2 linked regions of the Lytechinus pictus genome follow. The protein of the gene in region 1 purifies or fractionates together with the protein of each later gene. This does not show direct contact. Links are inferred from orthologs where the notes say so. Each region holds a gene or a part of one and is shown in the gene's direction. Other genes may lie near its edges. The genes, in order: ras suppressor protein 1-like and integrin-linked protein kinase-like.

Region 1 (15,820 bases):
TATCTATGTCTCTATCTATTTATCAGTCTTCTATATCTATCTTTCGGCATCTAAGTGTATCAATCCATCAAACTTCAATTTTCTTTCTATTATATGCATCTGTTTATTTTTATTTTGTCTGTCATTCTATTCATTTAGTTAATTATTTATATTTAGAAAAAAAAACTTTTTCATAACTTTTCATTTAAAAAAAGTAACTGCAAAAGCATGTTCGGATTTCACTCATATGACTGCTCTCTGCACATGAAGTGCCGAGGAACTCTATGCTCTGATCAGTAACTGTGCAGATTGCATGCGGTGGTGTGGGACTCGCCTGTGTCGCACGCTGCAACCAGCGACGTGTGTAGACTCTTCACTAGTCGCTTTGTGGCTATTTTTGCGGAAAATGCCTTCGCCAGGGTGTAAAACGGAAACGCGCGGGCGGGCGGCGGGGGGGGGGGGGGGCACTGAACTAGAGATACGTGGAATACGTGTCCCTATTCCCAACGTACACAAAGCCGTGCGGCAACGAAGAGCATCGGGCTTCACGCTCGACTGAGCGCGCCGCCATTTTGCTAGGTCAATACTGGCTGGTCGACAAATGCTGCGTGTAGGCAGATGGGAGAAAGGAACGCATAGAAAGTGTTCCTTGTGCTGTTTAAAGTTTTAGTTTGCTTTGTTACATCATGAACTATATGTTATTGAATACTTTCATAACTGAAAATGTTGATTTAGTCAGATTTTCGTATTAAAGGGGAGTAAACATAGCCTATATACAGACATGAAATCATAAAAAAATCGACCTTTTTCACGCGCACACTGTGACAAAGAAAGGCCCCACAACAAATTTGCTTTCTGAGTAGGCCTACAGTTTGTCTGAACAATAAAGGCATTCTAGCTGGTTGCATTAAAAAAAAAAATCTTTTAACGATTAAAAATCATGTCCCTTTTCTCTAGCTTTTTTTACACCTCCCTTCTCATTCAACTATTCATCTCATCTCATTTATTTCTAGTTCAGTGGGGGGGGGGGGGGGGGGGGACGGGAGGCGAAATTATTTTTCCCACCGAGTTCTGGACCAACATATGAATATTCATGACTTGCGTCTTCAGATTGAGAGTACGCATGCGCAGTGGACTTGGCCTCGACCATACCAGTGCCGATCGTAAGCATTCACGTTGCTCAGAATGAATTTTCCTTGTATTATTTTCTTTGGCCAACAAGAATGTTTTAAGTCTTAATGATATTCTGAAAAGATTTGGTAAACTTGAACACAGTCTCCAATTTTGTCATATCCAAATGGGTTATGTCAATGGCATAATGAGCCAGAAACTTTGAGGGGCCAAGCATGGCATATATAGAGCAATATTTCTGTCAAAAAAAAAGAAGAAAGCGATTGAAGCGAGCGAGTGAACAAAATTTGTCTCCCTCTTTCTATAAGAAAAGCTAATTTTGCAATAGATTGTTAAAAAAATAATATCACATTTACTCCATCTTTTCGTTTCCCTTCCCCCCCCCCCCCCCCGTGTCTAAGTTTATTCTTGGTGGTGGGACTTCTTCTTCTCTCTATCTCTCTTCTAAATTTTATATTTGTTTTGGGTCAGATTGACAAAACAAAGGGGAAAAAAATTACTTCTTTTTAATCATATATCGTTCAACATTGAATCTCATTTCTCTACAGTTTCAAGGAAATAAACAACGTATTTGTTTTTGTGTCAATATGGTTTCAAGAAATAATAATTAACAAAAAATAATTTAAAAATTAATAATTATTAATATTATCAATAAGTATTAATAATTAATGATTAATCATCTGTTTAATAAAAGTGGTTGTAAGCAGAAAAAAAAAATGAAAACTGACAAGAGTCCTAAAAATTACTCATTTTCAGTTTAAGCATTTGAAAATTTTAGCTTGCGCTTTGTGCTCTCTTGCCCCCCCCCCCAAAAAAAAAATATGCCCTTTTTAAAAAAGAAATACCTTTTTTAATAATAAAACATAATACATTTTAGGTTCGAAAATCACAGATTTTGAATCGTGCTTGCATCAATTATTGTTTAGTACAGTACTGCTAATGGTTACAAAAATGTATAGAATGTTGCTTTATGGTTGAAATATCACAAATATTTGGCTTGCTTCCTGCACTCGCATCAATTATTGTACTCGTTCTCTTCCCGTTCACAAAAAAATGCTTAGAATGTCCAGTTTTCAGGTTGGAATATCACAAATTTTTGAGCTCGCGCTTTGCGCTCGCATTATTTTTTATTGGTGAGTTATGTATCTTATTTAAAATGCAGTAATTAACTGCTTCCTTTACTGGTCAGTATATAAAAAGAATTAGCGAGCGCAAAGTTATTTTTTAGTTAGATACACATCTTTTTCATGATTACAAAACCAGCTCAGAATAAAATAATGTCCATGTCTTATTATTTATTTATTCATTTATTATTTATTTATTCATTTATTTCCGTTCAAACAAAAGATATAATCAAAGTAAAGTGTAAATACATGTTCAAAATAGTACATACAGTTCTATAACATTTCATAACAAATATTGAAGATAAAATTATCTGAACGGAGGGACTTGCCAAGAAAAGCAGAGCTTGTAAATAAGGCAAGTCCCTAAACATAGTTCTAATACTAATTAACATAACCTATATACAAGAGACGGGTGGAAAACAAAAATAAAATACATAATCTACAAAATACCAAAATAGAGCGTATAAGCGACAACAAAAAGTGGAAAGTAATTTGAATAATTGGAGTGATAACGATAATGATGATAAAATTTTTAATAGAAATTATAAGAGTGGAAAAGGGAGGCAAAGGAAAGAGAGGGGAGAAAAGGGTGGTGCAAATAAAACTGAAAATAAAAAGAGGAACATGACAGGTGCACAGGTCATAGGACACTGTAGTGACATTATTTAGAATATATATTAGACAAATTTGTTGATAATTAAATGATAGTTGTAAATACGTTTAGTTACAGTTATATATTAGCTTGACTTGTTGGTGTGGAGTATTGACAAATTAGCATCTTTTTAAGTTTGCGCTTGAAAATGTTAATGCTTGGTGATTCTTTAAAATCATTGGGCAGTGAATTCCAATACACTGGTCCAAAAAAGACGAAAGAGTTTTTTGCTAAAAGAGTACGGGTTGGGGGTAGATGATAACAATTACGTTGTCTCGTTGGGTAATCATGTATGGAGGAGTTTTTACAAAACATATTTGAAAAAAATGTGGGGAGATCATTTTTATTTAGTTTATACATAAATTGGGCGAGTTGGAAAAGATATAAATCATTCACTTTAAGAATATTATTTTGGAAAAAAAGGACATATGTGTGTGATCTGAAATGAGTTTGAAAAACATTTTGAAAAAGTCTGCCCCCCCCCCCTTTGGTACACTAGTAGTGGTTCCATGCTGATAGCGCGTAGATCAGAGTCTAGATCTAGAGACTAGACTAGAACTAAGATATTTATTTTAGATCTAGGACTGGTTCTGTATACGGACTAGACATATTAAACCATGGTAAATAAGCTAATATTAGTCCAAACCCAATCAAACGTAAAGTTCGGAATTAAGTTCGAAGTTAACCATGGCATTAGTCGGCTATTCCTATTAGTATTAGGCATTAGACAGGTCCAGATTTGAGGTAAAGTTAATGCGCTAGCCTAAGCTAGCCCTACCCTAGCACATGTCCCCGGGGGGGGGGGCACTCGACCAAAAAAGTGGTGGGGGTGTGCCGCGGGCGAGACAAAAAACGGGGGCCTTGGAGCGGGCTTATTGTAAAAAGGAGGGTCCTCGGAACGGGCTTCGGAACTACAAATGTTTGTGAAAACGGGGGTCCTTGGAACGGGTCGCCTGCGTGCGAGTGCGTATGTATCCCTATGGAACGTGCATGCAGCTGGGCTGCGGCACGACTGCCGGGCGCGCTAGCGCAGAGGCGATGGTCAGACGGCGAGCTGCGGCCGCTTTTCACCAAAATTGCGACCGGAACGGCGTAACGGAAAATATGCGAAGCCCTATATAGCTGGAGCGGATTTTTTTCTTCTTTTTTTCTCGAGAAGAAGAAAATGCTATGCTTTGGAGCGGCTTTCTTTGTTCTTTTTATAAATAAGACAAAAATGCTATGCCTCGGAACGGAAATTTGAGTGTAAAAGTGGGGGTCCCCCCGGGGGTCCCCTCCGCGGCACATACCCACTATGCATTATATACTGAGTGCCCCCCCCCCGGGCACATGTCTTGCCATTAATGGCAGCTAGTTTAATAAGTGTTTAAGAATTGGATGTATATATAGATCTAAGCCTATAAGGCCTATGTAACTATGTAAGGGTACCGGTAATTTGACGATGCTAATTCATTCTGAGCAACGTGAATGCTTACGATCGGCACTGGTCGAGGCCAAGTCCACGCGCATGCGTACTCTCAATCCGAAGACGCAAGTCATGAATATTCATATGTCGGTCCAGAACTCGGTGGGAAAAATAATTTCGCGGACGGGAGGGGGGTATCACTATGCCCTACATGTATTTCTACTAACTGCAACTAATCCCGGGGGATGAGGGGGATACACCCCCCCCCCACACACACACTTTTCGGAGAGGGGGAGGATGGCAATTAATCATCCCCCCCCTGCACGTACACTTTTCAAGGCAGAAACAATCATCAAATGATTAAAAATTAAGATATAAGATAAGATTTTATTAAACTATCGACCCCCGATCGGGATCAGTATGAAATTCTCGACAAAAACATATAAATAATGAATTTGCGTACACATTGAACATGCGTATAAAAATGAACATAAAATTATATATTTTACAATATGTCACAGGGGCCGCGGAACCGGGGGGCTGGGGGGGCTTCAGCCCCCCCCCCCCCCCACACTTTTTTTTCCAAAACCGTGTACAAAAACGTAAAAATGACCATATGATTGTGATTTTTAGCATGGTCAGCCCCCCACTTTTGGCTCAGCTCCCCCCCCCCACTTTGAAAACCGTTCCGTGGCCCCTGTACAGTCATAGGCCCTAAAAATGAACATATTTACAATGATGAATACAAATGTTTGCATAAATTAAGTACCGCATGATGTTGCATGCAATAGCTAGGCTATACACCCGGGGCTATATACAACAACAAACAACAAAACCCACTATAAACTATTATTGTCGTGTTTAGCACAACATTGTAAAACGCACTGGCCCATATTCTGAAGTCGGGTTTAACTTAAACTCGGGTTTATAGTTGTGGTTTTAAGTATGGATATAGCCAAGTGTTACATTCATACCGAGGTTTTTTTTACCTGACTGCTAAGAAAGCACGAATGCCTGTGTGCAAGCTAGCAACCAGGGGACCAACGACTTAAGGTCCTCTCCGAGGGACCTGGTAATGAGGATAAATGCCTTACCAAAGGGCACTATAGCGCACCACTTGGGAATCAGTCGAACCGCTCTACCGACTGAGCTATCGCGCCTCATAAATCACTAACAGTATAGAGATATCAAATTTAAGCTCACTTGGCTTTCAAATCATTCATAATTGTCTAGGAAGTATAAATAGCTTGTCTTCACCATCGATGAATCAGGAAAGAGCACAGTAAACATAAGAAACATACAACTTAATAAAAAAAAATGACACTTTTGGCTTCCCATAACTTTAGCACAGATCGAGTTAGACCATGGCAGTGGCGGATCCATCAGGGGGGCACAGGGGGCGCACGCCCCCCTAATATTTGAGCGGCGCCGAAGTCGCCGCTTAAAAAAATTATACACTGATATAATATTAGCAACAGTAAAGGAAAGACTATCCCCCAGCAAAGACTTAACCCCTTTTTCAACATTATGGCGCCGGTGAAGTGCAAATGAAATATGTGCGCCGCTCGGCAGTACGCCCCCCCCCCCTTTCGCCAAAAGCTGGATCCGCCTATGCATGGTCTAAGTTAAACCTGACTTCAGAATACGGGCCACTGTGTTTAACCATCCTACATGCACTGCTAATAGTTACATTCACTCTGGTAACTGTATAATAGCCTTTATCAATTACTATATTGTAATGAATTTTACAAGTTTTTTTTTTAATATGGCACCTTTTACAATCTACCCATTTGGCAATATTTGGTAAGCACACATCAGGGTCCTATAGAATATTCTTTGGTTATGTATACATGTACATCTATCTTTCTTTACTAAAGAAAGAACACACAAAATGGAACGCATCTCCAACTTCCTTCAGAGAGCATATAATCATTCACTGATTCTAGAATCGGTTATTGATGGGTACACCTTTTAGACCTGCATCTGAATGACACAATGTGGTTGCATCAGTGTCACTTAAAATTAGGAAATATTACTCAAAACCCCATTTTCCCCCGTCATCTTTTGAACAACTTAAATATACGATTTGACCATCAGTTGGTACATGTTAATAGAGGCCCATGCACCCTGACGTGTTAAAATTACACCCTAGAGATTGAACATAACACCAAAGAGTGTAAATGTAACCAGCAAAGGTGTATTAATAACACCTATAGACACTGTAGACACTGTCAATTTAACACTGGTTTAAAAATTATTGTGGTCCTCTATATGTACACCGGTTAAAACCAGTTTTTGCTGTGGACATAATTTTTTTAACGCAACTTCGAGAGTTTTAGGAACCAATCAGTCCCAATTCTCTTCCCGGATCACTTGTGATAAAAATATTAACCAGAATTACACCTGCTTTCTGAAGTATTCAGTGCAACTCATCCATTTTTACGTGAACTGCATATTATAGTTGTTAATGTGTGGATTCATTTATAAAAGCGGTATAATCCCCATGCATGATTAGCTAAATTGCAAGTGTTGTTAGCTAAATTGAAAGTCCCCTCCTACGGTCCTGCATCATGAGAGTATATCAAGAAAGTTACTTTCAGGGGCGACGATCCTGGGGGCGGCCCCCAAACTTTTTGAAGCACTGAAAATGTGCCCTTTTCACGCAAGAAAAATACCCCCTCACGATCGTGTACTGTGCCCTTTTTATCGGAAGAGGACCCGTTTGGGTGTTACCAAGTGCCATTTCGTATAAGTGCCATTTTCCCCAAAAAAATGCCCCCTCACAAACTTGTTCTGTGCCACCTTCATCTGAGAAGGACCTGTTTTATGTTTGAGCAAATTCTCCCTTCTTGTAAGTGCCCTTATCGTATCAGTGCCCCTTTTTACCCAAGACTAAAATTGCGCCCCTCGGGAACATGTCCTGTGCCCCTTTAACCTGAGGAGGACCCGTTTTATGCCGTTAGCAAGTGCCGGCCCCTTTTCCTTCTTATTATATAGGTGCCCTTTCTCATATCAGTGCCCCTTTTTACCTAAGAAAAGTGCCCCCACGAACATGTTCTGTGCCCCTTTCACATGAGAAGGACCTTTTATATGTGTTAACGAGTGCCCCTTTGCCTTCTCATAGGTGTCTGTTCTTCACTCAGATATAGATAATTTCCGTGCCCGATGAGCGCCCGTTTTCTTATGGTGCCGTTCTGCTTCCTTCTGCAAGTGCATAATGAATGAAAAAACTTGTAGAATTAATCCTACGTGCCTTAAAGGGATGCTCCGGGATGAAGATGTTTATAGAGTAAAATTCTTAAAGCAAAGTGCTGAAAATTTGATCCATAACAAATAATTTGCATTATTCCGGTGAAACAGTTTTAAGCATGTCTTCATGAATATTCATTAGGTGGGCTGATGATGTCACATCCCCACTTGTTCTTTTGTATTTTATCATATGAAATTAGGTTAATTCAAAATTTCTCTACCAAGAACTAAAACAATTATTGGATTGACATCTGATTAAGTGCATTAGTTACCCGGGGAAGGGGGGGGGGGGGCAGTCAAATGTATTGCTGTATACACACGCATGGCCAAATTATTTCCAAACACACCCTAAACGAGTTTTTCTCTGTGTGCAAAATAATCCCCTAAAAAAGTTTTTCGTTTCACGCGTGCATGTCATGTGTACAGCAATATATTTCATTGCCCCCCCCCCCGGATTAGTTATTTCTTGCTGCACCTTTTTCGTGTTATTTCGTAATAATGGAGGCACGTCATTTACACATGTTATGAAAAATTAAACAATTATGATTTCATGTAATACCATAAGAAAAAAGAAAGTGGGGATGTGACATCATCAGCCCATCTAATGAATATTCATGAAGACATGCCTAGAACTGTTTCATATCGGAATAATGCAAATATTTAAAATTCATTGATTTTTTGCTATTGATTTTTTCCACTGAAAGTTTATGCTTGCTGCCCTTCCCCCCCAGCGAAAAATTTCTGCATACGGCCATGTTAAAGATAGTACCCTTTTCGAAAGAAAAGGTGCCCTTTTCCCCTGTGCCCCCCCCCCCCCGCTTTCAACTTCACTCCGCTGCCCCTGGTTAGTTTAATGACTCGCAAAAAGGTCAGAATTATTTACAGAATGATAAATTGTGTACCTCAATTTATGCTAATAATGTTTTATAATGATTTTCTCCAGATTTTGAGCTAAAATAATATGGACCTCATGGAAGAACAGTATTTGTCATAATTATGTTGACAAAACTGAATATGGGCTAGGCCTATCCATCGATCCGTTTGTAAACGGAAAATAAATACTCTACCTCATACCGGCTATAGATTATTTGTCATTCTCAGAAGATTTTTATTAGGGCAATCAACTTGAGCAAATTCGATCAGAACAACTTCCAATCCTGTTCATTTTATCTTATAAACCTCAACAGTCCTTAAAATATCACATTTTCAGTTCAGTGGGCTCTTACACTTTTGTATACGTTACTTCATATACGAGCAGCTGTTATATATGTCGTGTAATATAAAATGAATAATTTCTTTTTTAAAATGTTTGATGATGACTATATTTTTTTTTCTTTAAGGAGCGAATAAATAATTTGTCCATCTGTTGATATACTGAAGGTACAATAAAATCATTTCAATTTGTTTGTTTTTTCTTATGGGGAAGCTGCTCGCGCATCACAATTCAAAAAATTAAATTCTAATAACTTTTTAAATATTTGATGGATTTTCCTCAAACCTTCACCAATTAATATCTTTTTATTATTTTTCTGCTATTTTTACATAAACCTTTTGCCAGGCTATATTCGGTGGTTGGGGCACTGAAAGTTATAAGCCTATATACGACCAAGAAAAAATAAGAAAAATAAGAAACAGAAAGAAAATGAAATAAAAAATTGAAATGATTATGATACCATTTCAGGATCTATGAAAAAAAATGCAAAGACATCACGCACTCATTATATCCCGGTTTATTTATCTATTCAATTATTTAATTTACACAGCCGGGTAGTCTCTTCAGTATATTTATATTCAAAATCAGCTTTGACTTAACATTTTAAGCTCTTCAATTCAAGGAGCTTGTCGATTGGGAAATAAAATGGATGTACAGTACACCACCACGATTCCCGCCCCACCCCCACCCCCATATGCTGAACTTAACCCCGCCCCAATTCCCTACACTGCAAGAATTCACTTCCGGTTTGACAGCTACACCCTTCTACTCACACCAGACTTGAGCCAAATATTACTCTTTTTATAATTATCACTGGAAATTAATCCTCGAAAATGTCTAAATCTGTCAAAAAACAGGTTGATGATGCAAGAGAAAACAGGCACCAGGATCTCGATTTGTCGGATAAGAGCATTTCAAAACTGCAGGACATTCCAGGACTGTGTAAGTATTTTTCTCCGGTCCCATTCATTAATATTGGTGTAGGCCTAGGCATAACACGGTCTTACATGATGTAATTTGGAAATGCTTCTGATGAGTGAAAACAAATAATACAAATCAATTTTTAAACTGTGATGAAATGGCATTTTGTGGGATTTATATCATAATAACATGGTAGATCTGCTCGCATATCTGTAACATAAAAAAATAAACTAGAATTAAAAAACTTCACTTCTTTTGACAGTTTCTTTTAAGTTTGGCTTTGGCTTTGCTGAGTCATGAGATGAGTGATACATATGTATGTTCTGCTTGTATTTTGCTGCTGCGAATACAATTTTAACATGATGTGAGTGTACAGTAATAATGCCCTCTGCATCTAGCCTAGCTCCAGATGAAGTCAAACCAAAATGTACAAATTTATTTACATTTGTCTAAGTCCTAAAACTTTCATGTTCACTGTCGAAAAAAATGTGTAAATTTTCCAACTAGTAAAAATAAGGAAGTTCACCCGAAAAATCCTGAATACTAAAAATATTGTGGTAATGAATTTCAGAATTTAGTCACTGTAGAGTTTTATTGGCATTCCTTAAGAGGGGTTAGATGTCAAATGTGTGTTAATGAATGATCTTTATCTTCAATATTTTCTTTCAGTTTCGCTCAGTAATCTTGTGAGGCTGACTTTGAGCCACAATAAGATTGATGGTAAGTTCTATAATTTTTTAATTGCTCCTCTCTTTCTCTCAATTTCGAGATCTGTCACTTTCTTTACCTATTTTTCTCTGTCTCTCTAAATGGGCTGTCCCACAAGGTTATATCATGTCCCACAAGGTTATATCATAACCTTGTTCATAGAATGAGTGGTCACACCCTAAGATTTAGCAAGCATACGTTAGTGTATGTATGGCAAGCTGTTTTAATGTTTGAAGTTTTAATCCTATTCCATTTCTTGATATATATTGAAGTAATACTATTATTGATATCGAGAATAAATTTCTGGTATATATTTTTGTAATGTTAACAAATGGCAATTCATCTTATCAAGAGTGAAATTATTTATATCAAGCAATAGCTAATTTGAAAAAAGCTTGTTATAGATTACTGTACATTGATGTGTACTTCCTTTGCATATGATTATTAAATCTTAAACCACCCTTTTCTTGAGGAACTTATTCTAGAGTAAGAGTATATTGCGGAAAAGGAAGAGCAGATCAGTTACAAAAAAGTGTACTACCGATTTCCTGTGACTTTATAGTTTTCAGGGGAAGTGGTTTTTGTAAGCTTAGAAAACATTCTACTTTTCTTCCCCTTCAGTTTGCTGCCTTCCAATTCCATTTCTAATAAGCATTTGATTTAGAATAGGCCTTGTTATTCATGCAAGCCAAAGGTCGGCTATATTATGTTTGAAGTTTGAAAAATACTTCTGTCTGGTTTGGTCTGGTCATTCCTATCTCCTGTTTTGTAAATTGAACATGCAATGTTAAAAGAGGGAAATTTGTAGATGGTGATCTATTTATCTCTGTGTAGATACCTCAACATTACAGTGCATGTAACAAATACTAGTAATAATCTGCCAATTTTCAAGGGTTGGTTCAAAGCTGATTGAATCAGACTTTAAATTTACTTGAATATGAAAGAGCAACTCTTCTACTTTAAACTGATATTAAAATTTACTTGTAAGAATTCAAACCTTTTGCAAGACTTTGCAAGTAAGAAAAAGATGAAGCTTTGACTGATACCTCAATGATAAAGTACTCTACTTTTGAATTGTGGTTATTTTAACCCTAAAAGGACTGGGGGCCATGATGCCCCCCCCTCAACGCTTTACGCAACATTTCCAAAACGCAAAAAGATAGCGCCGCAAAATTTTATGACTTTTTTCTTTAAAGTCTTGCGCAACTTTTGAGACCAAATTCGCCACATACAGGTATAGCATCGTGGCGTCACGTGACTTTTTACGAGACAATGTCATGCCGAAAATGACTCATTTTTATACTTTGTGTACAAAGTCTATGGGAGATGAAATTCATAAAAGGGTGATTATTTTTCGTTCTAATTTGGTCTGCTTAACCCTTTAGCACCTGAACCGCCCGAGACCGCCCTTCCTATTACACACTGAACCGCCCTTAACCGCCCGTACGTTTTCTTTGCGCTATAGTATCTCTTACCGTGGTAATATTGCGTGTGCATACCGTATAGGTTGGCTGCTACATAGATCTGCATAGAAAAGTGTATGCTTCTATTGAGTATAATAGAGAAAAACCGATTGACATGCATCGGTGTGTAGCAAGTTCCAGACTTGCGCAGTCGATCTCAGCAAAGATGGCTGCGTCTATGTCTCGGAAAACCACTTACTTCGCCGAAGAAGCTCGGGTGTTGCTATATGTTCATCAAAACGTTGAATATCACACAGAGTGACATCTAGATGTGAGTTGGAATTAATTTTTGACATATTTGATCCAAGGTTTGGCGAAAACTTTAGTATTCTGTCAGTGATACTTTACATTTTTTTTAAGGCGTGGGACTGGGGCGGCTGAAACCCGAACTTTTGTTTTTTTTCTTCTCGCTCTGCAAATGATTGTCAAAGGTCAATATTCATACATCTGATTGAACTTTGCCATGTACCATTCTATTCAACAGGTCCTATGCTACAAAATAAATATAACTTGTAATGAACAAAAGTAAATTTATAAAAAACTATTTCAATTTGTTTGGAACAATGCCTACTTATTACCAGTTTTATTGTTTCCTCCAGTGAGTAATTGCCATTATGCATAGGAATCTGTAGGTGCTATAGGGTTAATTAATTTAGTTGTTAAATGGTCTGTAATAATTTCCATTAAAAAAACAATGAAAAACAAAAGATGAAAAAACAAAGAAATACATGAATTCTAAAAACAAAGAAATACATTATAAGGAAAAATTGGCTTTCGCAACTTTTCTCTGTGGAAACCTTTAAATAATTATTTTCAGAATTTTTTTATACTAGCTTGTAGTTTAAGTGGTAAAGAATGTTCTTGCCAAATTTCGGCGCGATCGCGCGAACGACAGCCGGGATCAAAAGGGGGGCCATCATGCCCCCCCCCCCCCCCGTCCTCAATACATCTCAAATAGCCCAGTCCTTTTGGGGTTAAGTAGCTCTATATGCTACAAGTGTTATTTATTTGATGCAAGCCTAACGTCAGTGTAGAATTCTTTCTCCAGCACCCAACTATTAATTATAGTCACCATTTACTTTGCACAAATATAACAGTATATATCTATATAAAATCTTGAAGTTGTGAAATATAATTAATATGCGTGTATATTTATTTTGTATCTAGTTGTTCCACCACATATAGTAGAGCTGACAAATCTGGAATCCCTCAATCTATTCAACAACCACATAGAGGAGCTACCTACAAATATAAGCTCGATGCAAAATCTCAAAATCTTAAATGTTGGGTAAGTCTCTTAAATTGTAACTTATATTTCTTATTGGCTGTTGCAAGAAACTTATATTCAATTGCAAATCAGGCATAAGTCCCTTAATCAAGAGTAAGATCATTTTGTAAGAAAGTTTAGTTGCAATTGAAGTATTTAATGCAAAATCAACAACAAATTTTCTTTTAGATTATAGGAATTGAACTTGATTTTTGGACTTACACTTAATTTCGAATTGAACATAAGTTTCTTGCAGAGCCCCATAAGATTTAGTTTTCGTCATGTTGACAAACTTTACAAATTTATACAGTCATTGAAACCTTTTCCCCCATTAAGGTAGTCTAGATCTGGACATTAGGAGTTATTTGTTAGGACTCACTCACCTTTCACCAATACATTAGTCCTCTCTCTTTTCACCTTCTAGTAGGAGAAGGTGAGAAGAGAGAAGACTGATGTATTGGTGCAGGTGAGTGAGTCTTAACAAATAATGTCCATATGTAGACTACCATTAAGGTGGCATTGTCATTTCAATTTAATTTCAATTTGTATGAATTACTTTCTCAATTTTATATCATCTATTTTGCCACATAAGATCAAAGTACAAGGATTTTAAGCTAAAATAAATTACAATGTTTTTACCGGCTTTCAGTATGCCCAAGTCGGGGGTTCAAAGACAATGGCATCATGATCTGTCCGAAGCAATCACATTCTGGTGACATTTTTCCCATTCAAGTACATGTACATTTCATGCTGACAAAAGATCTTAATAAGTAAAACTTTAGGGATTCTTTTTTTTACTTTAGCTTTCTCACAATGGCTTGCTAAGTTTATTTGGATGGCCGACCTTGGGAGATCAAACTAAATTAACATGAATAAAATGTTATTGAGACAACATTGGCAGAGACATTCACAATAAATCTATTGACAAAATGGAGAATATCCATCCAAAATAGATCCATGGCAGTTGACACATGTATGATTCCTTCTGTGCGAGCATGTCATGGTATAAATCTCATCTTTTAATCAGAGGGTCGTGGGTTTGAATCCCAGCCATGGCGTGTTATCCTTCAGCATGGAGTATACCCATATTGTGCTGCACTCAACCCAGGTGAGGTGAATGGGTACCTGGCACAGTGTTATCCTTGAATGCACTTAGCAGTGGAATGGCAGCTCCAGCTAAAGTCGGGGTAATAGTGTACCTGGGATTAGATAATAGATGCACGTAGCTGGTGGTATAGAAATGCCTATTATTATTGTTATTATTATTTATTGATTTCAGCATGAACAGATTGTACAGCTTACCTAGAGGCTTTGGATCATTTCCCAAACTAGAAATACTGGATCTCACATACAACAACCTCAATGAGAATAGCTTGCCTGGAAATTTCTTCTTATTGGGTAAGTTATACAATTTATATACCTCCTTTCTGTTTCTCTTTTATTTTCCTTCCTTTTATTCTAATTGTTCTAATTCTTCCATTTATATTTCAAGCATTCTTTCCATTATTCTTCCTAAACATATAGGGAAGAGTGAGAGGCACATTTCCAAAACTAAATGTAACGGAGAAGAAAAGTGAAGGAAAAAAATAAGAAGACAAGCTGAATGAGCTAGAAAGCAATTCAAATTGGATAAATTAGTAATATCCCAGATACGGAAAAGTTTTGCTTCTTTCTCATGTGTTTCAACATACATGATGAATTTTTCCCCTCAGAATGTTCATTTACAGGAGTTTAATTCCTTTTATGTATTGCCTATGTGCACATACCGGTATTCATATTTTGTCTTTGATGTAAGTTTACTGGCTCTGTCTGAAATGACACTTGCAAGAAAATAAGAACAATTTTCATACACAACTACCCTGGGAGTAACCACATGACAACTTTTGATATCCACTAAATAACAATTGCCAATTTAGTAAATTCACAAGGAAAGGGATTCCACTTTTCAAACCATAATTTATCTAAAATTCCTGCCGTCACTCTTGGTGAGTGTTTCATAAAGCTGTTTGTAAGTAATGAATGACTTTACACAAATTGGTGACTATTTAGCTGAATTTGCACCTAAGAACTTGTTGCAGTCGTGCGTAAAGTTAAGTGTAACTTTACAGCTTTATGATTTTTTTCCTTTTATTTCATACCAATAAACTCATTATTCTGGTTTGATTTGCATTTTATTATTCAACATTGTATGAATATATCTTTCTATAATAGACACACTGCGAGCACTGTATCTCAGCGACAATGACTTTGAAGTGCTTCCTGAAGAAATTGAACAGCTGAGCAAATTAGAAGTGGTGAGTAACAAACTAATACTTTAAAAAAGATATATTTCACCTCATTATTTATTTACTTTAAAAATATGTATTTGAAGTACAATCAATTCTAGTAAATCATTAACAAAATGTTAAAGAAGAAAAAAAATAAAAACTTGTCAGATGAGCTTGAAAAATGTCATGAAATGTTTCGTATTATTGAAAGGAAGTATCTGTCTGAGTGTCTAGACTTTTTTGGGGGGGAGGCTGGGGGTAATCATCATGGTGCATCTCAAGGATATATTATATTTAGAGAGATGGCACATTTTAAATACCTAGTAGTGGTGGTGTGATCAGGTGGGTGTTTCATAAAGCTGTTTGTAAGTTAAGAGCGACTTTAAGAAAGACTGGTGATCCTTTCTTGTGTTAAATGGTATATTCATTGGCGATGGTTTA
Region 2 (16,362 bases), on another chromosome or scaffold:
AAATACATAAGAAATCGGTCTTGGTACCAGAATTTTTTTCATTCACAATTGTTAGGAATGCTATAAAGAATATTTTCACCAAAAAATAGCATTCTAGGAGCTTTATTTAGTGAATCAGAGCAAAAAGTATGATTTCATGAATAAATCAGCATAATTAATTCATATAAAATAAAAATGTATGAATTCAGTGAAATTTACCAATGCAACTGCGTAGATTACGTCATTCTCTACCATCATGCAAATTTTCGTTGTGATTGCGCAATCCGCGGCTGAGACCCGGGAATGACAAGAATAACAAGTGGAACGCCTCTGGCAGTCTCGCCTGCATTAAGCGATTTAATATAGCAGCAGTGCTAACTTTGAAATCTACTATAAAATAATCATTCACAAAAACACCATTCATATAATGACATAATACCACGTTCATTGACCATAAATGACATTTGAACGGTGACTTAAGACTTGTCAACTACACCCATGTCCAAGTTTTATGAACTAGATCCATAAACTTTCAGAGTTAGGATGGTAATTTAACGAATACCCCCAACACGGCCAAAGTTCATTGACCTTAAATGACCATTGACCATGGTTATGTGAACTGAAACTCGCACAGGATATTCAGTGGTACTTGATTACCCTAATGTCCAAGTTTCATGAACTAGATCCATAAATTTTCATACCCCCAACTTGGCCAAAGTTCATTGACCCTAAATGACCTTTGACCTTGGTCATGTGACCTGAAACTCAGGCAGGATGTTCACTAATACTTGATTAACATTATGTCCAAGTTTCATGAACTAGATCCATAACTTTTCAAAGTTATGATAGTAATTCAACAAATACCCCCAACTTGACCAAAGTTCATTGACCCTACATGACCTTTGACCTTGATCACATGACCTGAAACTTGAGCAGGATGTTCACTAATACTTGATTAACCTTATGCCCAAGTTTCATGAACTAGGTCCATATACTTTCTAAGTTATGATGTCATTTCAAAAACTTAACCTTCGGTTAAGATTTTGAAAATAATTCTCCCAACATGGTCTAAGTTCATTGACCCTAAATGACCTTTGACCTTCGTCATGTGACCTGAAACTCAGGCAGGATGTTCAGTAATACTTGATTAACCTTATGTCGAAGTTTCATGAACTAGGTCCATATACTTTCTAAGTTATGATGTCATTTCAAAAACTTAACCTTAGGTTAAGATTTGATGTTGACGCCGCTGCCGCCGCCGTCGGAAAAGCGGCGCCTATAGTCTCGCTCTGCTATGCAGGCGAGACAAAAATACCCCGGGAGATTTAGGGTTAATTCTCATTCATTCTTACCAATTCCAGATGAGCCTAAGAAAAGAAATACTAAAGGGTGGTCTTCATCCATCCAACCATTCTCTTTCCTCCTTATAGCTGTCATGATAAAAATCAATTATTCACATTAGCATGGAATACATTCTTCTGAAGAATGTCATAATTACAGTTTTCAGAGTGATTGCAAGAACATCTGTGTTAAATTTAACTTACTACTGAGTTGAACTTACTGTATATCATTATGCTGCAAGCTTTATTACTCATTCACTGTAAATGGATTCATACAGATGCAATATAATGAAATATGAGAATGGAATCACACATTAAAAGGGAGCAAATTATCCTCAGACTTTTGTTGGTGTTGTTGCAATCAGCAACTGAACCATCTATAATGAAGGCTTGATGAAGATTGAGAGGTGAGAGTGTACAAAAGTAATTATTTTTATTGAGATTGTGAGATAAAAATAAGTTCTGATGTCATCACATCAATAAGATGAACTATATTGGTAATAAAATTCTATTATCCAAAATGGTGTGGGAAAAAACAATATAATCTTTATTGAGTAATTGCAGTTTCTAGAAACAAGTTACCTGCAGCAACTGTTGCTATGGCACCATCCTGTCCTATGATGAATTCTTTTAATCTCTGCTCCAATGGGAAACGACGTCTCTCCTCTGCTGCCTTCTTTGCTTGCAGATCTGAAAACTATCAGAATACAATATAACACAAAATACTTCATATCATAGGACAGAATGTAAGAAATGACATGAATTTGAATGGTATATTACTACTTTTAATTTCAAATGAGCTCTAAACTCTCAAAGAAGTGCTTCAATGAATGCAACATAAAAAGACAAAAAATAGTATATTGGCCTCAAATGGATCATTGCTTTACCAGCTGAATATCATTTTGAGTAAAATTAAGTTTTCTTTGCTATTCAATTGAAATTCTTAATTTGTTGATGTAGTGTTAATGCTGTAACATTCCTTTTGGAACATTCAACAACAGGCTTTTTGAATTTCTCCTGCATACATTATCAAGGAAAAAACCCAACAAATTATGATGATGTATTTTAACAACTGGAAAATCCCTTATAAAAACAAACTTTTGTGCCTCCGACCCTCACTTTTCTCCATTTTATTTGCTCCACTGCCCAAGCCATGACAAATTTAAGGGCACCACAACTTTTCATATGAACTAGAACTCAAGAGAATTTTTTTCAGGAAGGATCCACATGTAGGGAATTGCACGTACATACTTCATGGAATTGCCCAATTGTAACAGAATAGGCTTCAAATCTAATTATTTACATCATGATGAAAATATTACTATACCCTGACTCTTACTTTGTCTGTGATTATCACTATGAACTTTGACCTTGTGTACTCACCTTCTTATCATATTCTTCAAGAAGCTGCTTTATTGCTTGCCCCTTGGCATACTGTATTGGTGTATGACCATTCTCATTGGCTATCATTGGATCAGCACCTGACAAAAAAAAAGTTTCAGTAAGAAGTGGGGCATGGAAGTATGGTTCTGCAAAGTTAATTTATTTTGATGTGTCAATACAAACAAAGTTGATAAAGTATTCTTAATATTTCTCTTCTTTTAACCTTAGAGTTGTATGTTTTTGCATTTTGATTTATTAATTTCCATTAAATTTACACATAAAAGATTGATATAAAGCAATTCATAGTTTATAACAAATATTGTGAATGGAGAATGTGATATTAAGAAAATAAATGTACAAGAATTAGCATTAAAATGCTCTCTTCCTATCTCTCTTTCTGTCACTATTTCTCAAACACAAACAGTCCTGCCCGCACTTCTATTCTTAATTTCAACAATGTATATCAAATGAATCATGTTAATACATGTACCTGCTTCAAGTAGAATTCTGACAATATTGATATCATTTGAAAGGACTGCATAGTGAAGTGCTGTACAACCACGGAATGAAGCTCTGTTGTTCAGTCTGTCACTGAAGTCATCTTCTCTGTCATATAATACTACAATAAAGAATATATATATTATAAAAAATATAACAATAATAATAAAAAATAATAACAGGCATTCATATAGAGTTACATATCTAGACAAATTATATTTCAAAGTGAATAAGAAAAATAGACAGAATAAGAGAGCTGGGATCATCAATCAAAGTACAAATAAATCTTCCATCTATTATTGGTGTCCTATTTTCAACTCCATATATAAATAAAATAATCTCTAAACTTTTATAAGAAAAGTGATATTGAGCTGTATCTTCCTATGGTTACCTGAAATTTGCTCCTGTCTCTGTTGCTTCTGTATCAATTTCTAAGAGGACAATAGTGTAAGGGTTTGGTTGTAGTAGGGTTTCAGTTCAAAAAATAAAGTGGGTCTTTATATAGGGTTAATGTCGGGTTTGATGTAAGATGAAGTTTTGCTAAATGAGCAGAATTTCCATTTGAGCAATTGTTAACCAAACAAAAGTCATGGAACATGTCCATCATATATGTATCTGTTAATTCAAGTAACTTTGTCCAAACATTTCAGCTGTTGTGTAATTAATCCTTAAATGCATTGATTACATTTTTAGCACTTGAATTGTGGCTAATCTGAAAGAAGCTCAGTGATTTTATATTTAAGTAATCAAGTAACATACCAGAGCCGATTTCATAACAGTAAATATTTTGGTAACTTTGCAATCCAATGGTAAGTACATTTTACCATAGAACAAAGCTGAACAACCGATCACAACCAAGGATTTTATGAATATTACTACTATATGGCATAGTTACCATAACAGTAGCTTTTATGCAATGGGGACCTGGGATATCTGAGCTCTATGGATATTATATGTACATGTAGCAACTTTCCAAGGAGGGCAACTTCCCTGTGACTTTTAAGTTGTGTTAGAGTGGGTTGTTTTGTCCGTAATGTATAAAGAGACTTTTCATATGGAGAGCTCTCCTCCATGAGACATACATGTATGCTCAAGGGGAATATTCATGTGAGAATGGTGTCGGGGGAACCGTCCTTTGGGGGAGCTGCCTGGTTCTGGGAGCCGTCTTGAAACTTTGCATGTGAAGAGCTAACCTTGTAATGAGTTGAGACTTTTCTCTTGTGATGTCTGCCATACACTGCTAAACTCATCCCCGATGTTTGGATCCGCTCCTGCTTTAAGTAATGCTCTCAGTGCTCTGAAATAAGACACGGTGGAAAGAAATATTCTAAGAGAATACCAGGAACACATTCTCAAGAATCAATCAATGATATAGCTGACTATTCAAAGGAAGTATAATGTTTTATTAACAGTGGACTCAATGTAAGCAGTGCATAATGAATGTTCCTGATTTATTACAAGTATATGGACAATCAGAAAATCAAGGAAAGAAAACAACTACAAGGTCTACAATGCAGATATACCTCTGATGCAAAATAAACTTCTTCCTCTTTAAAGGGAACCATGTCTCATTCATCAAATGTAAATTAGGTGACTATAAAGAATAGGAAGTACACTACTACAATCATTCTAAATTTTCACAATAAGATGGTCATTTCCTGAAAAAAAAAAGGTTTTGTCGCTATACACCTTTAGAATATGAGTCTTTGGTCTTACTTTTGATTCTTGTTGACAGCTGCTACATGCAAAGCTGTCCATCCAAGTTGATGCCTCTCATTCACATTGAACCCAGACCTTAGTAATCTACATGTATTTGTGAAAGAGAGTTGTTGGAAGGGAGTGAAAGGGAGGTAGTATAGGAAAAGAGGGGATAGATAGACAGAGGAGAGACAAACATGAGTGAGAATAAGCAATTTTTATAAGTAATCCATGGTGAAAAAAAGGGAACAAGGTCACTAAAATGTTGTTGGCTTTGATTCAATAAAACAATGCAATCCATATTGTCTAATATTTACAAAAACTTTATTCAGGCTTCAAATGTCATCGTTTTGACAAGATCTTCTTCCTAAAACAATTGATGACTTAAACATATCTATGTTTTATTGGTTTTAAATTATGTCATTGTCATAACAACATATTATTTTTTTTCTTTGACTCAAAGTAAATCAAATGAGCTTACCTCAATATTTCATCTACATCATCCTTTCTTGATGCATAGAACCATCTTGCTTTCACTGTAATAAAGAAGAAATTACCATTGTGATGTCACATTCAAGTAGATCCATAATGTGCCATGCAATGTAAATTGAATAAATTGTAATTTTTTCAGAATTATACATTGTCACAGGGTAGATTTGGGCCTACCTTGTGGCTGGGATCTTTTGACTGCAGTGTATGTTCCACGTACCGACATACTTTTGAAAACTTGTTAACAGAATACCAATCACAAAAATAATTAGGTTTTAGAAAACCTTTATTATAGTAAACTATTCTAACAAAGATTACAGGTTATAAACTAAGTATATAGATATTAACAGCTTTATACAATTCAATGATTAATGATGTTGCTTAGTTATTTCTTCTTCATCGCTGATTCTTGGTTTCTTTACTTGAGCGTCCTGACGATGACAATCTGTCTGATGTCAGCTCCTGTCTCTGGACAGACTTAGACCAATGATTCAGTTACAGATCATAAATCCTAAACACCAACTTCTCGTTAGTGTTTACTGATTTATAACGATTCCAAGTTTGTCAATGTGGAATCCCAAGATCCGGACTATCAGATTGTCCTAACAACACCTTGTAAGTTGTTGTATTCACCGAGGGCTGAATACAGTATTCAGATGAAAACTTGTTAATACTTTTGTGCAGTATCTCTAACCAGTAGTATCTCTGTTGAACAATCAGCAGCTTCTGATTTAGACTCACATTCTAGCTTTATTTATAATAATTTTATGCCAATTGTGGAACTCTAATATTCTTAGAAAGTATTATGAAGTATATGGCCCTCTAAATATCATTGGCCATTAAATACCTAGTCACTCACTTTGTCCCTTGAATTTGATTGGTTAAGATATTTTACTACCACTTCCACCGGAAGGAGTGGGAAACAAGACTCTGGGAAATGTCTGACGTCTTGGCTGGGTCAAAGTTTACAATTCTAGCCCATTCATCCTGGTTCTTCTCCTTTTATTGGCATAAGGCTTTTCTTTCAGGGATATTCCCAAGAAATCTAACTGACCGGTAGTACATATGTATGATGTTTGACCATCGTCATAATTACTTGGAAAACTTTCACCGGAAGTTCTCTTCTTCCTTCTTATGAATTTCATTCATACCTAGGAATGTTTTATTTCTACATTATATTGTATAGAACTTACATTGATGATACATATCGGATAGATTGCTCAAAAACGTGATTCTATGTACAGAGTCAATGCAAATAGTGTTACCCAATCTGCATTGACTTTGTACACGGAGTCACGTTTTCGGGCAATTTTGGGTCTGACATGCACTTACAAAATGTTGTGTTACATGTATTTTGGAACCACGTACCTGGGCATCACAAATTTGGTCTCAGAAGATGTGCAAGGCTTGAAAGTAAAAAGTCACTGAGTGACGAGGTAAAAAATTTCTTGCAGTTGCGAAGTGACAAATTCGTCAAAAGGGGGTCAACTTGACCCCCTCCAAATTAAGTAAGGATTAAATTTTAGGGCAAAGACAGCATTTTTACATCTTTTTATTGTTAAAAATGAATTCCTTGTCCAAAATAACAAAGAAATTGACACAAAAAAAGCCAAGATATACAATTTTGACGAAAATGGGTTGGGGGTCAACAATCTTTTTGCCCCAAATCGTTTTTTGGGCGGCACGCCAGCACCCCCTCAAGGTTTGATTGATTTTTTCGAAAAATAATGAGAAAGTTATGAGCATTTGAATATTGCAATCACTAATGCTATGGAGATCCTCATATTGGCAATGCGACAAAGATTTGTGATGTCACTTGTGAACTACTCTCCCCATTAGGCATTACTTTAGTATATATTTCAGTTAAACTGCCTCTTTTTTCACATCTATCAGTAGAGCATATATTCTTTCTATATGAGGGCATGTAATACAGACTTTTAAAGAATACATAATGGATAAAGAGTTTGTATCACCATAAGAAAAAGCAAAAAGATAAATTTTAGGGGTATTTTATAGTCCATCAAAGGGAAAGTTATGTGACATCACACTTGCTTGTTGCATTGCCAATAGGAGGATCTCAATAGCAATTAGCATTAGTGATTGCAATATTCAAATGCTCATAACTTTCTCATTATTTGTCAGATTTTTCTCAAACTTTCTTTGTTCTTATTCTTTGATTTTTCTGTTTCCACACAAGCCTATTTATTACAAAGGTTTCATTCCCCTTCAATTAAAAAAAATTGTATTCATCATTGACAAATATGGGGAATCTAATTGCACACGATATCACAAATTGAAAAAAAAAGAACAATTAATAACTCTTCTAAGTTCTTCATCTGTTCGTTATTTACTAATTCTTTTCATTGTTGATGGATTTTCATCAAACTTTCCCCAAAAAAGGATTGTTTCTGATTTTCTGTCTTAAATTTAAATATTAAATTAATTAAAACCCATTCAGATTTCAGGCCTCAGGCTCAGGGCGACATAGACAGCTGGCAGCCGTCTGTTTCGAGGAGTTTTTAAACATTTGTTTATTTTTTAAATTTCTCCTCATACACAGACGGCTCGCTATCGTGCAGCCACCATTAGGGGACTTACAATGCAAAATCCCCCCGTCGGGGCTCTTCAATTTTTGTCTTTAAAGTTTAAATATGAATCAAACTTTTGAAAATTAATGCGACCAAAATGCAAATTAATATTCCCTCTTGGCATTAATTGCCAAAAAACGGGGAAAATCAAGTTAAAAGGAACAAAAACAGTAACTTACCTCGGCTGTCGCGCAACTTCACTGCCCTGTTTTATCCGAACTTAATACACATAAACATATGGCCATTGAGTCCCCTGTACAGATCGCGCTAGAACTTCGGTCTCTGTATTTGGTGAGTGAAGACAACAGAGTTTAGCTGAACAACCAACATAACAGAGACCGAAGCTTTTGGTCTAACTAAGGGCGACAGAGCCAGAGAGTCATGAAGCCTATGAAGATGAACCTCTTTTGAAACTCCTGATCCCCAGGCCTGGCCCGGTTTTGTTTGGGAGAGATGGGATGGGCACATGGCCTGGCGCTGGCGGGGCCGCAGAACAACCTTCATTTAACTCACCCGTTTCGGCGGACTCAGCACACGCCGCTACTGCCCCGAGGGCAATCGCAGCAGTGGCCCCTACTCCCGCAGTCCGGACACGCCAAGTGGAAATTAAACGATAAATCTGCCTGTTTCCATAGAAGTTCCTTACGTTAAGACAACATCTAAGTGTGGGAGTTCTTCTCGAAATAATGAACTGTGAAATTTCATTCTTTTCGATACTTATTTGCCGTAAACTAAAAAGAAATAGACGTAATTTCATCACATTCGTGGAAACGATGGAGGCTGCCATCTTGAAATGTTGAGTTTGTAAAGCACTGATTAGTTCTTAGAAAATATTGTTGTAGAACTATAATATTGTTAATAAGATTTTTAAAATATGAAAAATTATTAAAAATTTTAATTTAAAATCAACAAAAAGTAATTTTTATTAATAACGGCATAAAAAATGAAGAAAAATATCAATCTTTCTGTATGTAAACATTCCGCAACCTAATTAGGAATGCAAGGAATCTTGACCCCGTGGGCGTGAGGTCATCCATTATCGGAGTCTCTTCAGAAATGAGTGGAGGAGTGGCCCGTGAATGTCGCTCCGAGCTCCGATGCAATATAGCCGACTGACTGCACCAAAGACGTTTTTACCTCGAGTGCGTGACCTTTCTGCTACTTGATGTGTCAAATTTGGCGGGGGTCTCTACAGCAGTTTGTGTGATTTGATGAGAGGATCAACATTGCATTATTTTTGGATGACACTGACTTAGTCAGACTCACTTCAACACAGAAACTTAATAATAATTGTCATTCCTTGATTGAAATCACATTTAACTTTTCGGACTGGATTTTCAAATTTGTGGACCAAACGCAATTGAAACTGAATCTAAAGTAATTGTCACTGGATTTTCATCCATCATCACTTGAGTTGATACTGATAGTCAGTGAACTTTTCATTTGCAGGGTATGATCATCATCATATCTCATGTTATGAGGATTGTCAACATGACTTTGTGGAGAAAATAATACGTTCTTCACTTCTTTCTTTTCAAATTATCTGCTTCTCATCGATAATCTGCACTCTGCAAAGCAGTGAAGCATATCAATAGGAATGGATTATGATTCACTTGAATTAATAAATACATTGATATTCAAGTGACTAATTGTACAGGAATTTCAAACTTTGTTTGAACAGTCGATGGACTTGCTTCGACATCAAGAGGACTCTCACAGGAACTTTTATTAGAGCTGATACAGCAATGGATGATATTTTTTCACAAATCCGTGATGGGAATGCAGTGCACATCAGAGTTTGGTTGGACAAGGTTGAAAATGATCCAAACCAAGGGTAAGAACAATTAGTGTAGAAAAGTTAACCAGAAAAATTGAACTGCTATTTTGTTAAATTGTTAAATTAATTCAGGTCAGCGTTAAAATCAGGGTCAATGTCATGAATCAACATCTTTCATCATCAATGGCATCATTGTCCCCATTATCGATCCAACATCAGCTATCTACCAAGTACCATCATCAACAATATCCCATTGTCTTGTCATTTGTTAACATATTGTAATCATCAATTCTGAATACCATCAGCACAATTGTTATCTTGATGATCATCTTAAAGTTTTGTTTATTTTTACTGTTTTCTTGTTATTTCTATCTCAAATCTGTTCAAGTTTTCAATATTGCATTTATAATCTTTACAGATGCCAAATGCTAATGTTTTATTTTTCTTTGTCTATATTATTGCCTGTAAATTTTTTATGTCACTGATTTACATTGATTCTTGTCAACCAAACTTCATAAAAATTGTCTGGATCACAATTACAAAGTTATACAAGTTCTGGCACTATCAACAAATTTTGCTCTTGACCTACATACCGGTACATTAATAATGGATCAATGCAATATTTTTCTAAATTTTTTTGTGTCTCATCTTCTAGATGTGAACATAATAACTTTGTAAATGGAATTTCATTGATGATTTTCCTTTGTTCAGGGCTTACTTTTTTTTCAGAAAGAAAAGGTTTGTGTATTTAAACCCAAGACTGTATTTTAAGAAATAGAGGGCCTTTATTTTTTATAAGTAAGTGTGCCATAGTAAAAAAAGGGGGAAATTCTTTTCAATCTTTATATTAAAGACATGATCATAAAAAAACGATTGGGCTAAATTGGTTTTATTTTATCAGAGACTTATTTTTTAATCTAAGATATCTACATGTAGTTAGGGCAGATCTAGAGAGTGTTTCACTTGTTTGCATAAAAAATATGAAGAATGCTACATGATGGTATCTTGATATAGTGAAGGAATGTCTTCCATTTTAGTGTAATAAAAGTTTAAATTTTACAAAGATTGCAACAAGTGGTAACATCCTCTGACTGGACCCCATGTACATGTACATGTACATACCATGAAAATATACGTACATGTACACTTCAGAGACTCTGACTTTGTCTGAGATTTTTGTAGTACCTACTCTTTGTCCTGCTCCGTGTTCTTGAAAATTCTTAGTACTGTACATGTATGTACTGTATGATAAATTTGTCATCCATACATCTAGGAAAAGGGCTCAACAGCCAATGATAAACATGGAGCTGTTAATAGCTCTATGGTCTAAGGATTCTATTAAAATTACCATTAGATACCATGATACATTCTAACGTAACAGGCATGGTTAAGTTCATTTTGTTTGAGAGAGCTTTATACCTAGGCTAGTGTAACATGATCAACATGAATGTTTGAAAGCAAACAAGACGTTGTATTGCCAGGTCAATTAAACATTTTACAAGAAGAAAAATATTGAGTAGATTTGTAACTTATCCTTGCAAAGTACATTTTCTCTTGGGCACTGTTGCGAGTAAACTGTACCCTCTTCATGACTGGATGCCAGATATACTTACTTGGATGTAATGTAGCTTATTTGCCCCTCATTAAGTTGGATAGTCTATGATAATGGTAGGGTAAAAATTCTAGTGGATGATTTTTCCAGTGCCTCTCAATAGCTGATTTGAGCATATTCATATTACAATAGAATATAGATGCATGATTGCAATCATTTTGGAAAGGCATTATTGCTTCTGTGCTTTTTTTTTTAATTTCATGCTACATGTATGACCTCTGTGTCTACCATGAAAATCAATCTCAAAGAATTTGTTTAAAGACTGTCAAGTTGATCAAGTCCTCTTCAAATGCTGCATTGTAGCACATTACATGTTCACTTCTAAAATACCAGAACATTTGGTACTCTACATGTACAATGTATGGCCCAAATTCACAAAAGTGGTTTTTGCAAAAACCATGGTTTCTAAAACCCACGGTTTCTAAAACCATGGTTTTAAATGAAACCACCTTTGTAAATTCAGGCCTATGTGTTTTAAAAATGGGGACATTGCTCGACAGTTTTTCCACATTAAATAAGCATGGAGAAAACACATGTTCTGTCATAAAGAAGTTTGCCATCTTGGATATTTGTTTTAAAGGGGAAGTCCACCCTGACAAAAAGTTTATTGTAAAAATAGCAGAAAAAATGATTAAAAATATTGCCGAAGGTTTGAGAAAAATTCATCAAATAGTTAAAAAGTTATTAGAATTCCAATTATTTGATTTGTGACGTCATATGCGAGCAGCATTCCTACATAGCGAATGGTAAAAAATCAATGAAATGTCATTTTCTCAGAAAATTGAAAATGGTTTTCACTTTACTTTTTGTATATCAATAGACAAATCATTTCACACCTGATCTTGAATAAAAAACAAAAATAAGTCATCAGGAACCATGCAAAATTTGAAATTCATGCATTTTATATTACGTAACACATGGGGCAGCTGCTCGTCTATGACGTCACAAATCCAAAACTTTGAACTCTAATAACTTTCTTACTCTTTAACGGATTTTCCTCAAATCTTCACCAATATTTTTTACTATTTTTTCTGCTATTTTTACAACAAAGTTTTCTTCAGGGTGAACTTCCCCTTTAATTCTAAGAGAACAAAAATTGTAAGCTGATTTGTATTTCACAGATTACTTGAAAGATTCCTTTTTCCCATTACAGCAAAGGTGTGGCAAAAAATACAGGATGTTTGTTTTGTTCATGGATAGATCATATTAGACTTCATATTTCCTATCTCTACCCACAATGCATTCAGTATTTCCTTAGCATTAAAGATGGTTTAAATTTTGCCTGCATAGAACAAAAATTAAGTGCTACATGTACATGTAAATTTGATAAGTGAAGTGTACATTGGGATCATTGATTTTGCATTATGGAGAGTTTTTCAGAGCTATACAAACACGTAATTGTTAAGAAAATACAGACTGTTGAATTGTGAAAAATAACTGAATGGATTATATAAATACAATCTACATTTACAGTATTTTATGTACATGTACATGAATGCTGCTTCAATTTTTGTCACCCTATTTTAAGCTGTACAGCGGTTTGTGATACATATTTACAGAATCAGTTATTGACCAAACATAAAATATTCTAAATTAAACATTACATTTTTAGAGCATTGCATAGGGCTTCAATGTGAGACAAAAATAAGTTTTATGTTTAGACCATATTGGTTTGATAATTATATGTAATTTGACAGGTCTACAGATAATTTATGTGAAAGTAAGTACTTATAAAGTACTAGCAAGAAATGAGTATACGATAACATATCAGGCAGACATATATTCTTGTAAAGAATCAGACCTACAATTATAGTACCTCTTATCAGAAAGTGCTTTACAAACAAAACTAATTAATTTGAATACAGTTGATGTATTTTTTTCACATATAGTAGTAGTACAGTGTACTACTGTAAATGTTTGTAAAATAAATTCATTCCCTAGACAAAAAGTATAGGAACATAAATGTGTAATATATTTAGTATTCCAGAGGGCCGTTTCATAAAGCTGTTCGTAAGTTAAGAACGACTGGTGATCCCGTAGTATGCGCTAAATAATCACCAGTGAACATTTAATGGTGAATATCACTTACCACAAGAAAGGATCACCAGTCATTCTTAAAGTCGCTCTTAACTTACGAACAGCTTTATGAAACACCCACCAGGCCTATTGTGGTCTCTTATTAAAGGGATGGTCCAGGCTGAAAATATTCATATCTTAATACATAGAGTAAAATTCACTGAGCAAAATGGCGAAAATTTCATCAAAGTCGGATAACAAATAATAAAGTTATTGAAGTTTCAAGTTTAGCAATATTTTGTGAAAACAGTTGTCATGAATATTCATTAGGTGGGCTGATGATGTCACATCCCCACTTTCCGTTTTCTTATCATAACTTTTTCATTATTTCATACTTGTGTGAATAATATGTCCCCCTTATAATGAAATAAGTTGCAGCAATAAATATCTAATGCACTTAATCAGTTGTCAATCCAATTTTTCTAGTTCTTGGAGGAAAAATTTGAATAAACCTAATTTCATATAATAAAATACAAAAGAACAAGTGGGGATGTGACATCATCAGCTCACCTAATGAATATTCATGACGACTGTTTTCACAAAATATTGCTAAACTTTAAAATTAAATAACTTTGTTATTTGTTATCAGATTTTGATGAAATTTTCAGCATTTTGCTCAGACAATTCTACTCTATTTATTAAGCTATAAATACGTTCAGCCCGGACCATCCCTTTAATGTTATGATTACTGATACCATGTCGACTTCTCTTTAATCTTAAGATCGCTTCTGTTCATTGAACACAGTAGGCACGTATATCCTGTATCATGAAATTTCATCTTTCCCTCCCTGTTAGTTGGTAGTAGCTTGCTGCTTGGCTTGTTAACAATCCTGACATGTGGGAGATACATCAAATCATTTTCAGGCCGATGATGTAGCAGCGAAGGTATGCCAACTATACAACAGCCATATCATCACAAGGCTGCATTAAAGGGGGTACATCATGGAAATAATTGTTATTCAGAAGAGGACTGTACACATTCCCCTCAGACTTATGTTGTTTACATTTCCTTGACAATGTTTTTTGTGATGTGTGAACTGTGAAGTTGGTTTCATTAAGTAAATAATGAAAAGCTATTGTATGAGTTTGTTTCAAAGCTTGAAGCACAATAGATTAATTACCGGTACAGTACAGAACAGATCCATGGTCATGTAGCTTTGATTCTTTGTGTCTCGCTCACCAGAGGTAAAGGCGAGACTAAGGGATCAAAATGTCGTTTGTCCGTCACAAACATCATGACACATAACATTGCAACAATATGTCACTTTTCAACCAAACTCAAGGCTCTATAACTCCGCAACCATAAGTCAATTTTCACCCAAACTTGGGTTGTAGATGTACTTAGGAGACTTATTATGTTATTGTGCAGTCGGAGGTCACATGGTAAGGTCAAAGGTCATTTTGAGGTCAATGTTTTTGAAAGTTTAGGTGCAAGACAATCTTATCACACATAACTCCGTAATTTTCTGTAAGTTACTTTTAAACCAAACTTGGGTTGTAGAGGTACTTAGGAGACCTGCATGTTATGCTGCAGTTGGAGGTCACATGGTAAGGTCAGGGTCATTTTCAGGTCAACTCTAAAGTTTACGTGCAAGACTCTCTTTATATGACACAAAACTCCGCAACCATTAGTCACTTTTCAAGCAAACTTGGATGGTAGTTGTATAGGAGACCTGCATATTATGCTGCAGTTGGAGGTCACATGGTAAGGTCAAAGGTCATTTTGAGGTCAGCATTAAAGTTTATGTGCAAGACTCTCTTATGACAAATGTTATTTCATCCCAGTTATTTCACAATGAACTTTTGATAGAATTCTGTTGCATGCCACCGTAAATCGCGATATTTCTGGTTATTTACACAAGTTGGCGACTTATGCCCTGTTTTAATGTAATGTATGTTCTGGTTCTGATTGGTTTCAAAAGATACATTATATAACCTGACTCCTTTTTCCTCTGTTATTTTTTTTATTGAAATGAATCAATCCAATGATATTGTCATGGTCTAGTGGTTACGACTTTTGTCTTTCAATCAGAGGGATGTGGGTTTAAATCCCAGCCATGGCATGTTTTTCTTCAGCAAGAAATATACCCACATTGTGCTGTACTCAACCCAGGTTAGGTGAATGGGTATCCGGTAGGATTTATACATGTACCTTGACGCTTTGGCACCGATATGGCGGCTCAGCTACAGGCGGGGTAATATAATATGATACCAAGCGCAGTTGAGTATAGTAACTGCACTATATCAATGAACATATTATTATTATGGGAAATTTAGTACCTCTAAACAATGTGTACTGAACAGTTGTAGGCCTATACATGTATGTATTGTATGTTGCATTTTTCAAAGTAAATTGAACCAGTTTGGTTTACAGGCTCTTTATGAGTAAGTAATATGTGTAAGATTATTCATTACTAATACTATTTTCTTTTTGTACCTTTAATAACAAAATCTCTCCCTTTCCATAAACTAAAACCCCCTTTCAGAGGATAGTGAGAGACAGGATTCTAAGGTGACAAACTTCTCTTCAAGAATGAAAGTATGACAGGCTTCTAGCAGAGTCCTAATAAAACAGCCTAAAATATGATAGGCGTAGAAAGGAAAATGAGCAAGCTTAATATGATTTAGAGTGTGATTGATGGCTGAGCTCATCAACATGCTCACATTATCAAGCTTGAAAACACCTTTCAGATTGAGAAGGCAGCACCAAGCATCGAAAGCACCTTGGGTAATATGTTTATCAACCATGGTAGAAATGCTATTTTCATACATTTTATTTAGGAACACTCCCAGTCAAATCACTTTCTCAAAACATTTCAGATAAAAAAGTTATTTGCCATTTTGATGGGAGAGAGACAGAGAATAGTGCTAATTTGATATTTTATGGTATTTGGAAATAATGATGTATAACTTTTTACAGTG

The links.
Region 2: the proteins of ras suppressor protein 1-like (region 1) and integrin-linked protein kinase-like purify together in Homo sapiens (affinity purification with mass spectrometry; 9 studies listed by BioGRID and IntAct, counting the BioPlex papers as one, with this or other methods). This does not show direct contact. The link is inferred for Lytechinus pictus from reciprocal best matches to the Homo sapiens genes RSU1 and ILK.

Annotation. Positions count from the first base shown.
Region 1 is NC_087247.1:32,135,666-32,151,485, reverse strand, and holds the start of ras suppressor protein 1-like, read left to right. Parts: upstream 1-9,475; 5' UTR 9,476-9,586; coding exon 9,587-9,695; intron 9,696-10,343; coding exon 10,344-10,394; intron 10,395-13,012; coding exon 13,013-13,133; intron 13,134-14,391; coding exon 14,392-14,510; intron 14,511-15,323; coding exon 15,324-15,406; intron 15,407-15,820. UniProt on the Homo sapiens protein: Potentially plays a role in the Ras signal transduction pathway. Capable of suppressing v-Ras transformation in vitro.
Region 2 is NW_026974140.1:15,260,462-15,276,823, reverse strand, and holds the start of integrin-linked protein kinase-like, read left to right. Parts: upstream 1-8,992; 5' UTR 8,993-9,720; coding exon 9,721-9,809; intron 9,810-16,362. Other genes in the region: mitochondrial disaggregase-like, read right to left, coding at 1,332-1,409, 1,902-2,016, 2,703-2,800, 3,193-3,321, 4,394-4,497, 4,917-5,003, 5,380-5,434, 8,489-8,762. UniProt on the Homo sapiens protein: Scaffold protein which mediates protein-protein interactions during a range of cellular events including focal adhesion assembly, cell adhesion and cell migration.